Linked DNA regions of Ovis aries. The protein of the gene in region 2 purifies or fractionates together with the protein of the main gene of each other region. This does not show direct contact. Links are inferred from orthologs where the notes say so. Each region holds a gene or a part of one and is shown on either strand. Other genes may lie near its edges.

Region 1 (4,230 bases), on a different chromosome or scaffold from region 2:
GCATATTTTATTCCTTTCTGGATATGCGTGTGAATTCTATTAATGCAAAAAAAAAAGGTTGAATTTTGTGGGGGACATCAGATTTAAAAAGGTTGAATTTTGTGGGGGACATCAGATTTACACAAAACAACAAAGAACAAAAAGGCGGCCTCGAAAGCACAGGCCCACGCATATACAGGCCTGAATTAACCATCGTGCATTTACGCAGACTTCACCCAAGGACCTCTTCTTACCTCCATAACCATCTCTACCACACTCTGCCAGTTTAGGAAGGGACTAGGTGGCTTGTTTGTTACCTGAGGACTTTCAGGGGACAAAGGCCTTGAACTCCTCATGGAAACAATTTAACAAGAATCCTCCAGGAAAATACTCATTGACATCACTTGAGCCTTTGTATGTTGGCATCGAATTTGATGCTTTACACACATACTTTCATGACTGACCTGCCCTTTGGAGATGGTTCTCTTGTGGTCCCCATATTAGAGATGAGGACGCAGGTCTAAAGAGGGTCGGTCACTTGCCCAAGCTCAAGCTGAGACTAAAGTTCATAACTATATAACAGAACACTTCCGTGTACCCTGGGCATGAGTGGGAGCAGGAAAGGCTGGACACATCCACAGCTCACGCCATTCTTCATATACTAGGTGTCTTGGTATAGACTTCTGGTAGCTCGGTTCCATGGCCTTTGTGTTTTGAGCTGGGTTGAAACTACACATCTGTATCAGGCTCAGCTGTAGTTCTAAGTGGTGAGCAACCTAGTCCTTGAGGTGGGGAGGGGGGTGGGCAGGGTGATGCTAAACAGACGCCACCCCAGGGAGAGGCTGTCACACGAACAGACCCGTGTGCATTCACATCGGCCGCCAAGTTTCTGTTTTGGTCATCTCTCCTGCACATTTTAATCTGGAGACAATTACAATCCATGCTGAGAAGGGATAAAGGGGATTAGCATCAGTGAGGTCAGCTCTGACAGTGTCTCTTTATGCCTGGACCCTGGACCTCGATCAACTGCTCCCTGCCAGGTGACAAGCAGGTATCCTTGGGCACATACTTCGGCAAGCTGGAAAAAGAGGGGAAGCGAGTCTTGGGGCTCTTTTATCTTGAGAGATTACTGAAGGTGGTGCTGTGCCAGTTGGATGAGGCTTTATTAATTGGCGGCGTCCCCCAATTTTCTTGACAAAGAGGGAAAGAATACCATCAATGCCGCCAGCATCCACATAAGGCTGATGTTATTTTGCATTTAGTGCTTATGAGGTGCTTCACAGGTACTGACACTCACACCTCGCAACCACATTACGGGTTCTGATCACATTTTCCAGATAGGGAGGCTGGAGCTCAGAAAGGTGATCACTGGCCCAAGGCCAAACAGCTTGTATGCAGAGGAGTCAGGGATCTGAGCCCCACAGTCCCTTCACTGGGTAGCCTCTACCAGTTGCTGTGGTCTTAGTAATGATGCTCCCAGACACCTTTGATGGTAGAGGAAAGACTTCATTTAGCTGCAGGTGAGGACCTCCTGGTTTACGAAGGCTGGCAGACATCAGAAGAGGTCATCAGGATAATTCTAACATCTTTTCCCCAGACAGCAGACAGTCTTCGGCTGGAGGTTGGTTTAGGAGCAGCTGCAGTCTGTTCTGAAAGCAGGAGGGTGGCCTACTGACAGCCATCCATCCTGGCTTGTGATTACAGGATTCTGTTTCCCTACTTGGGGATGCAAATGCAGGCTCCTGGGTCACAAAGGGAGTGCTCAGATTTCTAGTGTGAGGGCTCCCCTTTGAAGTTAGTTACTGTTTTCTGTGTTTCCGTTAAAAGTTTGGAGAGATGTTGAGATAAGCAAAAATAAGCCCATTAGGACAATAAGCTTTATGTGGTGTCCCCAAATATATTTTTAAAAGATGGATAAGAAATATTTGCCAAACTCAACAAAACATGTTTACCTCTAGACACAAGTTAGAAATGCTTGAAGGGAATTTTTCTTTCTTTCCCAACAGCCTGTGAAGAGGTGGAGATACAAGGTCTCCAAGCTGCTGCTTGCTCTAATAATATCCCTTTGTTGGAGATAGGGCCAGCATTTGACAAGTGACCCAGTGGCTTCTACTAGATGTGACAAGCACTCTGAGAGGCCCTTTGCTCCATCTCTGTTTCCCTAGAGGTGACAAACCCTAGAGTTGAGGCCCGTCAGGGCGGAGAGCCTCAGGGACTATCACAGATCAAGGGGACCTTGAGCATGACTCAGTACATCTCTCACCTTTAGGATAAGGAGATTGAGGCACAGGAAGGCGGCTTTTTAAGGTCCCTCATCTGTTGTTGGCAGAGTCAAGCCCAGGTTTAAGTGACTGAAGACACTTTTCACTGTCTCCAACTTCTGTAAGACAGTGTGCCCCTTCTTTGAGGGGATTTTGATAGTACCTTGCCTGGTGACATTTGTTAAAAAATATATCTGTACATGTTTTCAGGGATGAGGAACCCTGTGAGGATGAAAGGATATGGGGGGACTTGGGGGTTCACACATAGCAAGTGAACAACAGGCTTCTTGTAATTGCAGAATTATGGAAAGAGGGTGACGTGATACTCAGGTATTGCCTAAAAAAGTCTTCCAAGTTAGCAGTTAAAGAATCGAAGTCCTCTGGCAACACTTTCTAATACAAATACACATACATATTCATTAAGATGCCGCTTGGGCTTTTCGGAAGGCACCTACCTCACTGTTGGCGCTTTCGACAAATGACCCCCCGAACATAGCAGCCATCCACTTGCAGCTACAGATCAGCAGCGGTTTGTGGGCACTGATGGCTCCATCGTCCAACTTAAACGTCACATCTGCCCAAGGATGGAGGAAGCACAAGCCTGTAAGCCAGCCTCGCCAGGGGTTCCATCCACATCCATCCGCCTAGTCTCATCTCTCTTTCATACCCTTAACCACTGATGTGGTGCCCACCCCCAACTCGGGCACCAATTCTCTCCATGTCCTCCAAGGATATAAGGAGTAAGCATTTAAAATTATACATAAAGTCACAACACAAATACTGTGAACCATAAAGTAATATAAAGGAGATGAATAGTCTTTTCTTATTTAGAAAAGTTTCAACATGGAGAACAGTAGAAAGAAGAATAAAACAGTAACTGGTTTATCACATGCTTAATTTTGTCATGTTTGCCTTAGCTATATAAAACGTGTGTAGACATTTTTTTAACAGCGTACTTCAAGAAAAGTTATGACCAACCTAGACAGCATATTAAAAGGCAGAGACATTACTTTGCCAAAGGTCCGTCTAGGCAAAGCTATGGTTTTTCCAGTAGTCACGTATGGATGTGAGAGTTGGACCATAAAGAAAGCTGAGCACCGAAGAATTGATGCTTTTGAACTGTGGTGTTGGAAAAGACTCTTGAGAGTCCCTTGGAGAGCAAGGAGATCCAACCAGTCCATCCTAAAGGAAATCAGTCCTGAATATTCATTGGAAGGACTGATGCTGAAGCTGAAACTCCAATACTTTGGCCACCTGATGCGAAGAACTGACTCACTAGAAAAGACCCTGATGCTGGCAAAGATTGAAGGTGGGAGAAGAAGGGGATGACAGAGGATGAGATGGTTGGATGGTATCACTGAGTCAATGGACATGGGTTTGAGTAAACTCCGGGAGTTGGTGATGGACAGGGAGGCCTGGCATGCTGTGGTTCATGGGGTCACAAAGAGTTGGACACTACTTTGCCAAGAATTTTCTAAAAATAAGATTCTCCTAGATAACCATACCATTATAACCCTTAAGAAAATCAGCAATAATTCCTTAATATCATCCATTATCTAGTTCATGTCCAATTTTTTCTAATTACCCCCAACTGTATTTTATAGGCTTTTTTTGTTTTTAATATAAAGAATCCAGTTTAGGCTCCCACTCTGTGTTTGGTTACTATTCCTCTCTAGTAAGGAAAAGGAGATTTCATCAATTTCACTTAAGGTCCATTGTTTCATTTACTGCAGGTAAGTCTTTGTAACATTTCTTTTCATTAACTTTCAAGACTCTCTACCATGATCGTCAATGTTTGGAGTAAATATTATTCAAAGTTTTAAAATTAATTAACAGATTCAGTGACCAGTTATTAAATGCATATGAAAGATGAAGACAAAAACAGAAATATCTATATAATAATGGAAGTCAAGAAGTCAAATTTTTACAATGAAACATACACAGAGAGGACAATTACAGAACAAAATTAGCACAAGTCCTATGTGTACAG
Region 2 (4,330 bases):
GAGATTTGTCACTCACTGGGGATCAGAATGAGAGAGACTCTGTCTTATCTTCCCTTTGGCCAGAAGACCTCTCTCCCTGCAGGACTTCTCAGGTCCCTTCCTCTGAGGGCTGCTGGCCTTTTAACTTCTCTTCATCCAGGCTCCATTTAGGAGCTATTGCTTAATTCACAGAAGACACCCTTATCACAAAAAATCTCCTGGGATCTGCTGGTTCTGGGCACCAGTAGGCTCCGCAAGGTCAAGACACAGGTCTCTACCTGTTCTCTGGGCTTTCCTTGTGGCTCAGATGGTAAAGACTCTGCCTGCAATGAGGGAGACCCAGGTTTGATCCCTGGGTTGGGAATATCCCTTGGAGAAAGAAATGGCAATCCACTCCAGTATTCTTGCCTAAAGAATTACATGAACGGAGGAGCCTGGCAGGCTACAGTCCATGGTGTCTCAAAGAGTTGGACACGATTGATTGGCTCTTAGGAAAAATTAGGTCAGAAATATATACCTCTTTTAAATAGTAGGCAGTTGCTCTGGAGTATAAGGCTTCTTAGCTGGACTGAAGGCTGAGGGGGGAAAAAAAGGTTATTCTGCTGTTAAATTTGCTAGTTTGCATTGCTATTTCAATCTTTACAGAATTCCTGTCTTTTTGTTGTTTCAAATGCTTTCAAAACATTGTTCAGATAACTATAAAACTAAAAACAGTGGTTAGGAGCGCTTTAAGAGGGATTGACTTTAACAGAAGTCACCCTTATCATCAAAAAACATTTCCGGGGATCTGCTGGTTCTGGGCACCAGTACGCTTCATATGGTCAAGATCAAGGTCTCTACCTGTTCTCTGGGCTTCACTTGTGCTTCAGATGGTAAAGAATCTGCCTGCAATGCAGAAGACCCAGGTTCAATCCCTGGGTCGGGAAGATGACTTGGAGAAGGAAATGACAACCCACTCCAGTATTCTTGCCTGGGAAATCCCATGGACAGAGAAGCCTGGTTGGCTATAATCCATGGGGTCACAAAGAGTAGGACACGACTGAAGCAAATTCACACCTGCCCTGTGTGAGGTAACACTTTGGGTACGGTGCAGACACACAGTGAAAGAGCCAGCTAGGTTGTAGGGGCAATGAGATGGGAGATGGGGTAAAGGCAGTGTACCCAACTTGCTTGGGTGCAGGGGTGGGGAGAGGGCTGGAGTTGGCCAGGTTTGCCAAAGTTAAGTTTGGTAAGATTGATGGAGATGGAAGGTAGAGGGAAGTTGGGACGGGTTAGAAAACGCTGGGGGTGTTAACAGAAAGAGGAAAGATAAGCCGTGTAGACAGAGTCACTCAAGACCAGGCTCCACTGCAAAGCATTCACTCAAACGTCACTTAGGTGCCCCTGTGTCAGGCACGGATTTGGTCATCGGTGTTACAGTGATGAAGGTGACAGAGGGCCCTCAGGTGGGCGTGAGTGAGGCGTGTGAAAGGAGCAGACGTGAGGGCCAGTGTGGCTGAAGCAGGGGAACCAAGGAGCAGCAAAGTAGAGCCCATGGCCAGCTGGTCAGGCAGGGCCCGAATCTTGCAGGGCTCTGCAGGCCGTGATTAGGGATTTCGGTTTTATTCCGAGCGCGGCAAAATGACGTTCCATTCATTCTGCAACAGTCTTAGGAACTAAGCGGCCTTATCCCAGTTTTACTGACGAGGACGATCAGGGTGGGGTTAGGTAATTTGTTCACGGTCAGTTGCAGGCGAAAAGGGGCTACAAACACCAGCCGGATCTCCCTGCCCCGGGCCTTCCCCGCAAGGCCCGAGTCTTCCCCGCAAGGCCAAGTAGGAACGGCCCGGAGTGGCCCAGGGTGCGGGCAGGCGTGCGCCTCGGCGACAACGCGCATGCGCCGCTGCCTACGGAAGCCGGGAGGGAGGGGGCGGGGCCGACGCTGGCGGGCGCGGGGGAAATGGCGGCGACGGCGGCAGCGGCGAACGGGACTGGAGGGAGCAGCGGGATGGAGGTGGATGCTGCAGGTAACGGGCCGTGCGGGGGCGGCTTCTGGAGACTTCCTGGCGGGCCTGTCGAGGCCTTCCTAGAGTCCCGGGAGCAGTCGGGATGGCGAGCCGGCAGCGAGCTCCCTGGGTTAACTTGCGGGAGGGATGGATGGCCCGACTTTGCCGTCTCCCGTTCCCGGCTCCCGGGAGGAACGTGGGGCCTGGACTCTCACCCCCTCTTTCCCCTCCTTAGTCGTCCCCAGCGTGATGGCCTCCGGAGTGACTGGCAGCGTTTCAGTCGCTCTTCATCCCCTCGTCATTCTCAACATCTCAGACCATTGGATTCGCATGCGCTCGCAGGAGGGGCGGCCTATGCAGGGTGAGTGTTCGGCGTCATTCTCCAGCCTCCTCCCCTCAAATAGTGGTCCTTTCTCCTTCCTTTGCTGAAGCTAGTTCCTCCTCCGCAAATCATTTCTCTAGTACTTGGTTCACGTGACCTCAGACCCTCAGGCTATTATTAGAGAAGTTTGAGGATTCCTTTAGTGTTAGTCGCTCAGTCTTTGTGACTCCATGGACTGTAGCCCACCAGGCTCCTCTGTCCTTGGAATTCTCCAGGCAAGAATGCTGGAGTGGGTTGCCATTCCCTTCTCCAGGGGAATCTTCCTTACCCAGGGATTGAACCCAGGTCTCCTGCATTGCAGGCGGATTCTGTACCATCTGAGCCACCAGGGAAGTCCTGGAGGAGTCCTCACCCTCACCTCTTCTGTGTCCTTTTCTCCTCCAGTTATTGGGGCTCTGATCGGGAAGCAGGAGGGCCGAAATATTGAGGTGATGAACTCCTTTGAACTGCTGTCCCACACCGTGGAAGAGAAGATTATCATTGACAAGGAATATTATTACACCAAGGAGGAGCAGTGTGAGAGGGGAATAGACGTGGGGGAGAAGAGTGGGAGTAGGGGAGAAAAGAATGGGGAAGATGGAGAGGGTTGGGGAAAAAATAAACAGAGAAATAGGACCAGAGTAGAGGAATAATGAAGAGAGAGTAGCTGAAGAGACCTTAGAAAAAGAACACATATGGGTTATTCCTCGCAAAGAAAGCAAGGAGTGAGAAAAGACAGAATAGATTAGTTGTTCTACGTGGAGCCAGGATGGGAAGGGGAGAAGCTGGTAAAAACACACCAGGAGTTTCAAATTGAAGGATGATTTAAAGATATACTGTGTGTCCTGGCCCCTTTCTCTCCAGTTAAACAGGTATTCAAGGAGCTGGAGTTTCTGGGTTGGTACACCACAGGTGGGCCACCTGACCCCTCCGACATCCACGTCCATAAGCAGGTATACACGTTCACACAGGTACATATTGGGGTGGAGACGAGAGAATGAGGGGAAGGAAGATGGACCCTGACACACATGTGCATCCTCCCTTCTTCCAGGTGTGCGAGATAATTGAGAGCCCTCTGTTTCTTAAGTTGAACCCTATGACCAAGCACACAGATGTGAGTACAGTGACCCCGTGCCCACTTTGTCCTGCCTGCCTGTCGCTCTGCCCCTGCTTTTATTGTATGACATCTCTGTTGAATCTTTTTGCAGTTTACCATCTGTGAGACTTGTCATTTAACCTTTAAACTGCATTTTCCCCGCATGTGAAAATGGGAATGAGTTCCACTTCAGTAGGTCCTTGGGAAGATTAGCTGAGGAAATGTAATGTGAAAAGGGCCCAGTCCGGTTTTGGTGCTTAGTGTAGGTTCAGGTGTCTGATGTTTAGTTAAGAGCTGTGCTCTCTCTTCTTCACAGCTTCCGGTCAGCGTTTTTGAGTCAGTCATAGATATAATCAATGGAGAGGTAGGTAATGCCCTACCCTTCAACCCACACAGCCTGCCCCTGGGGTCTGCTGCTTTTGACTCTGTGTGTCCCATAGGCCACCATGCTGTTTGCTGAGCTGACCTACACTCTGGCCACAGAGGAAGCAGAACGCATTGGGGTGGACCACGTGGCCCGAATGACAGCAACAGGCAGTGGAGAGAACTCCACTGGTAAGGGTGGCTGCAGGGGCTTCCTTAGAAGTGGGGGGAAGGTGTGGCCACACACCTTCTCAACTTCAGCCTGACCACCCCCCCAGTGGCTGAACACCTCATCGCACAGCACAGCGCCATCAAGATGCTGCACAGCCGCGTCAAGCTCATCTTGGAGTACGTCAAGGCCTCTGAGGCAGGTAGGACAGTTATCTCCCTGGTCCCTGAAGCACGTTTGCTCTCCCTCCTGGGGAAGTGACAGCATCCGCATTGATGCAGCTTCTTGTGCCTTCAGGCGAGGTCCCCTTTAACCATGAGATCCTGCGGGAGGCCTACGCTCTGTGTCACTGCCTCCCGGTACTCAGCACAGACAAG
Region 3 (3,491 bases), on a different chromosome or scaffold from region 2:
AGCCTGACGTCCATGGGGTCGCAGAGTCAGACACAAATGAGCCACTAACACTTTCACATATGTATAGGTATAGGTGATTCATTTTGTTGTACAACAGAAACTAGCCCAACACTGTAAAACAACTGTGCTCCAATAAAAATTAATTTTAAAAACTGTGAAGAAAACAAAAATTAAAAAAAAAAAAAAAACAAAACAGAGCACCTGTTGAGCTTACTGAGGCCCTGAGTATCTGTGGGCCTGTGACCTCGCAGAGCAGTGGTTTCAGTGCAGCATAGAGAAAGCCTCTGTTCTCCTTGTTGGTTTAACCATACAATACACAATCCTGTAAACAAATTAATTTCCCTGGGGACTTTTGAAAGCATCCTAACTGTATTATCATTTTTTTGCATAAAGGAAGGTTAGCAAGAAAACAATTACAGAATGGACTTGAAATGATCTCCAAATGGCCATCAAATAGATGGCAGTCCACAGACATGCTGGGGGAAAAAAAAAGTTTCTCTTGTTAAATCCAGATCTGTTTATTCTGAAAGCTCGGTTGACCCTCTCCTGTTCTTTTTTCCCTTTGGGCAGAAATTCTTTGGCACCAGCGTTTAAAAAAATTTAAATGTCCACAGCCTTTGTGCTCTGTCCCCTCACTCCAACCTATTATCAAGGCCAAGGAATTCTCAAATGTGGCCTATTCTGCAATGAGCTGACCAGGCTGGGGTGGGGAGGATGAGTGGACAAGCCACTCCAGTATTCTTGCCTGGAAAATCCCGTGGACACAGGAGCCTGGTGGGCTACAGTCTATGGGTCTGCAAGGAGTCAGATGCTGACTGAGCAATTGAGCGCATGTACACACACATAAACAAAAATAATGCTAAACCTCAATTAACTAGAACTTTGATTCAAAAACAGTGCCTCTGGCAACCCATTCCAGTATTCTTGCCTGGAGAATCTCTTGGACAGAGCAGCCTGGTGGGCCACAGTCCATGGGGTCACAAAGAGTCAGACACAACTGACCAGCAAACACTTTTAGAAAAAAAGACAAGTAACAAAAAATAAAAGGATAATAGATATTTATTTATAATTCCAGGGGATGTCCCATATCAGTAAACTGTTCCATTTCTTGTCCCTTCTATGACTACTTTCAGTTACAATCGTTCAGTGTAACACACTGGAGGCAACTGAAATACCTCAAGCGTCAAACAACATTAACTTACCTCTGGCATACTGTACTTTTTAAGGCAGAAGTATTTTCTGCAGTTGTATTTTCCAGCAAAACTGAAGAGTTTTTGCCGGTTAATCTTCAGTTTACCAGACCACACATTTCAGAGTTATTCCAGTTAACTGAGGTTTACAGTCTTACGATCATATTACCAGATAGGGAAAAATTTCCCTTTTCCTCAAGCCATTTTAAGAGACCTCTGCTGCCAACACACCTCCCTATCTTCATGAAAATATCAAGTGATATACTACTTTGGATGGAAATTTTATCCTAATTACCATTTAGAAAAAATTCTTTTTAAGTTGATACTAAAAAGAATTATGATTTTCTGCACATCTTCTACAACTATTTGATAGAGCTTAATTATACATACATTTGTAATGAGATAATCATTTTCAAGGCAAAGAAAAAGTTATTTATATAAAAATTTTGCTTTATAAAAGTGTATAAATGTCATCCTGCCAATATACTTCCCATCCCCTCCTAAGGCAGCTGCACCTGTGACAGTGAGGTCATAAATATTAAATCTTATTTCTTGGATAGAACTATGTAGGTGTTCAGAAAGTATATTTTCCAGCAGGTGTGATTTTGTTGGATATCAAAGCAGTTGTTAGAGATGTTAGTATTTCATTCCATTCCTCCTTTTGTAAGATTATCACCAAATGTCGAATTGATGATGTCTGTTTAGCCAGGCACCACCACCATCACCATCATCATTTCAATTTTGGGAATTCTCAACAGCATGCCTCATTCAGAGAGATGGGTATAGTTTATATATACTATAAACTTTAAGTGATAAAGATTAAGTGATAAAGAATCCAGCCTTAAAGTACATCTTTAGATCCTCTGTTCATAACAGATTACTGTGAATTTGTACAAATTCAATTTTATTGATTAAAACTGTACTATGTAATATATTACTAGACTATTATGAAATATTTTTTCTATAAATGCACTCAAAATTTTCTGAGGCATTTGTTAAGCCTATTTCTAGCACTATGCCAAATACTAACAACCAGATATTTCAAAACTCCAAGGATGAAGTCAGCTTTCTTCATTTTCTGAAAATTAACTTTAGTAGGAATTCTGTGGAAATACTGACCTACCTCATCTTATGTAACCTTCAAAATAGTTCAAATAAAAACAAACAAAAAACACAAACAAGCTACATAAAACAAGAATCTTTCAATTATAAAACTGCTGAAATATCATGAGTCAGCTGATCTAAGAAATTATACAAGATAAAGCTGAAATAGCTGTTTTTTTTTAAACAATTAAACCCATTCTTTTTTCCCTTAAGGTTATAAGAAAATGGAAATCACCCGTTAAATCATGCAGAGATTTAAGTCACATTTATTTACCTAAGAAACCAAAATGTCTCTTATCTTACAGTTATAAATATTCATAACACTCAATCTCTTTTTTGTGACCAGTTCTTTATGCCATTGAGACTAGACTGCATGGTACTGTTTAGCCAGGATGTATTGTAACGCTGAATTAGGTATTGTTCAGCTGGATGTTATAAAGCTGAATTATGTATAAAATATTATTTCTGGTATTTGCCCATCTTCTATTGAAGTGCCATTATTATTGCCAGGAGAACTAAAAAAGAAAAAGACAGTCTTGCTAGCAGTAGGTGTTTCATGCACCACTTTCTTCAGTCCTTTTGTGCCATAGTGGGAATCTGGACCCTAAATGAGAGCAAACGGTTCATTAGTAATTTTATTTAATAAGCACTCAACTGGACGTGGCATTTCAATTAGATTAACGATCTACTTTATTTCTTTATAGCTCTTGGATAAAAATGCATGCCAAGTCATTTACTGAAAAATGTTGTTTCTGCTACAAGCTAATTAATGACTAAAAATACTGAACGCAGAGCTCGGGTATTAGAGAACAGTGAAATGGTTTTAAGAAAAACTGTTTTATCTTCTATTAAACTTGCAATCTCCTGCTCAAAGGGGCTACTAGATTCTTGTGGAGAACTAACCATTTCTTCCCAAGCAGAGCTGTGCTGAGAGGCACTGCTTTTCTCAAAGCCGTGGTACAATTTAGCTCCCAGCTTCCTGCCTTCCCTGCTTCCGCCAAGGATGTATTTTGAATGACTCTCAGCTGCTACTGAAACATGTACTCTGCAGCAAGAAGGATGAAACCCCAGGCCCCGCAGCTCACCAGGTAGAACATTCAGGAAGACTCTTACTTTGAGTGTTGCGCATGCCATGTAGCACAAGTTGGGCAGGATCTCTATGGGTTCTTTGAACATGACCCTGAATGTGTTAGCAGT

The links.
Region 1: the proteins of COPS6 (region 2) and RHOBTB1 purify together in Homo sapiens (affinity purification with mass spectrometry; 4 studies listed by BioGRID and IntAct, counting the BioPlex papers as one, with this or other methods). This does not show direct contact. The link is inferred for Ovis aries from reciprocal best matches to the Homo sapiens genes COPS6 and RHOBTB1.
Region 3: the proteins of COPS6 (region 2) and BTBD1 purify together in Homo sapiens (affinity purification with mass spectrometry; 3 studies listed by BioGRID and IntAct, counting the BioPlex papers as one, with this or other methods). This does not show direct contact. The link is inferred for Ovis aries from reciprocal best matches to the Homo sapiens genes COPS6 and BTBD1.

Annotation. Positions count from the first base shown.
Region 1 is NC_056078.1:15,924,295-15,928,524, forward strand, and holds part of RHOBTB1 (rho-related BTB domain-containing protein 1), read right to left. Parts: intron 2,815-4,230; coding exon 2,696-2,814; intron 1-2,695.
Region 2 is NC_056077.1:36,794,956-36,799,285, reverse strand, and holds the start of COPS6 (COP9 signalosome complex subunit 6), read left to right. Parts: upstream 1-1,905; 5' UTR 1,906-1,918; coding exon 1,919-1,985; intron 1,986-2,199; coding exon 2,200-2,325; intron 2,326-2,730; coding exon 2,731-2,862; intron 2,863-3,189; coding exon 3,190-3,278; intron 3,279-3,376; coding exon 3,377-3,439; intron 3,440-3,737; coding exon 3,738-3,785; intron 3,786-3,861; coding exon 3,862-3,976; intron 3,977-4,062; coding exon 4,063-4,155; intron 4,156-4,250; coding exon 4,251-4,330. UniProt on the Homo sapiens protein: Component of the COP9 signalosome complex (CSN), a complex involved in various cellular and developmental processes.
Region 3 is NW_024599827.1:1,672,226-1,675,716, reverse strand, and holds the end of BTBD1 (BTB/POZ domain-containing protein 1), read right to left. Parts: coding exon 3,057-3,491; 3' UTR 2,899-3,056; coding exon of another isoform or gene 2,740-2,898; 3' UTR 1,042-2,739; downstream 1-1,041.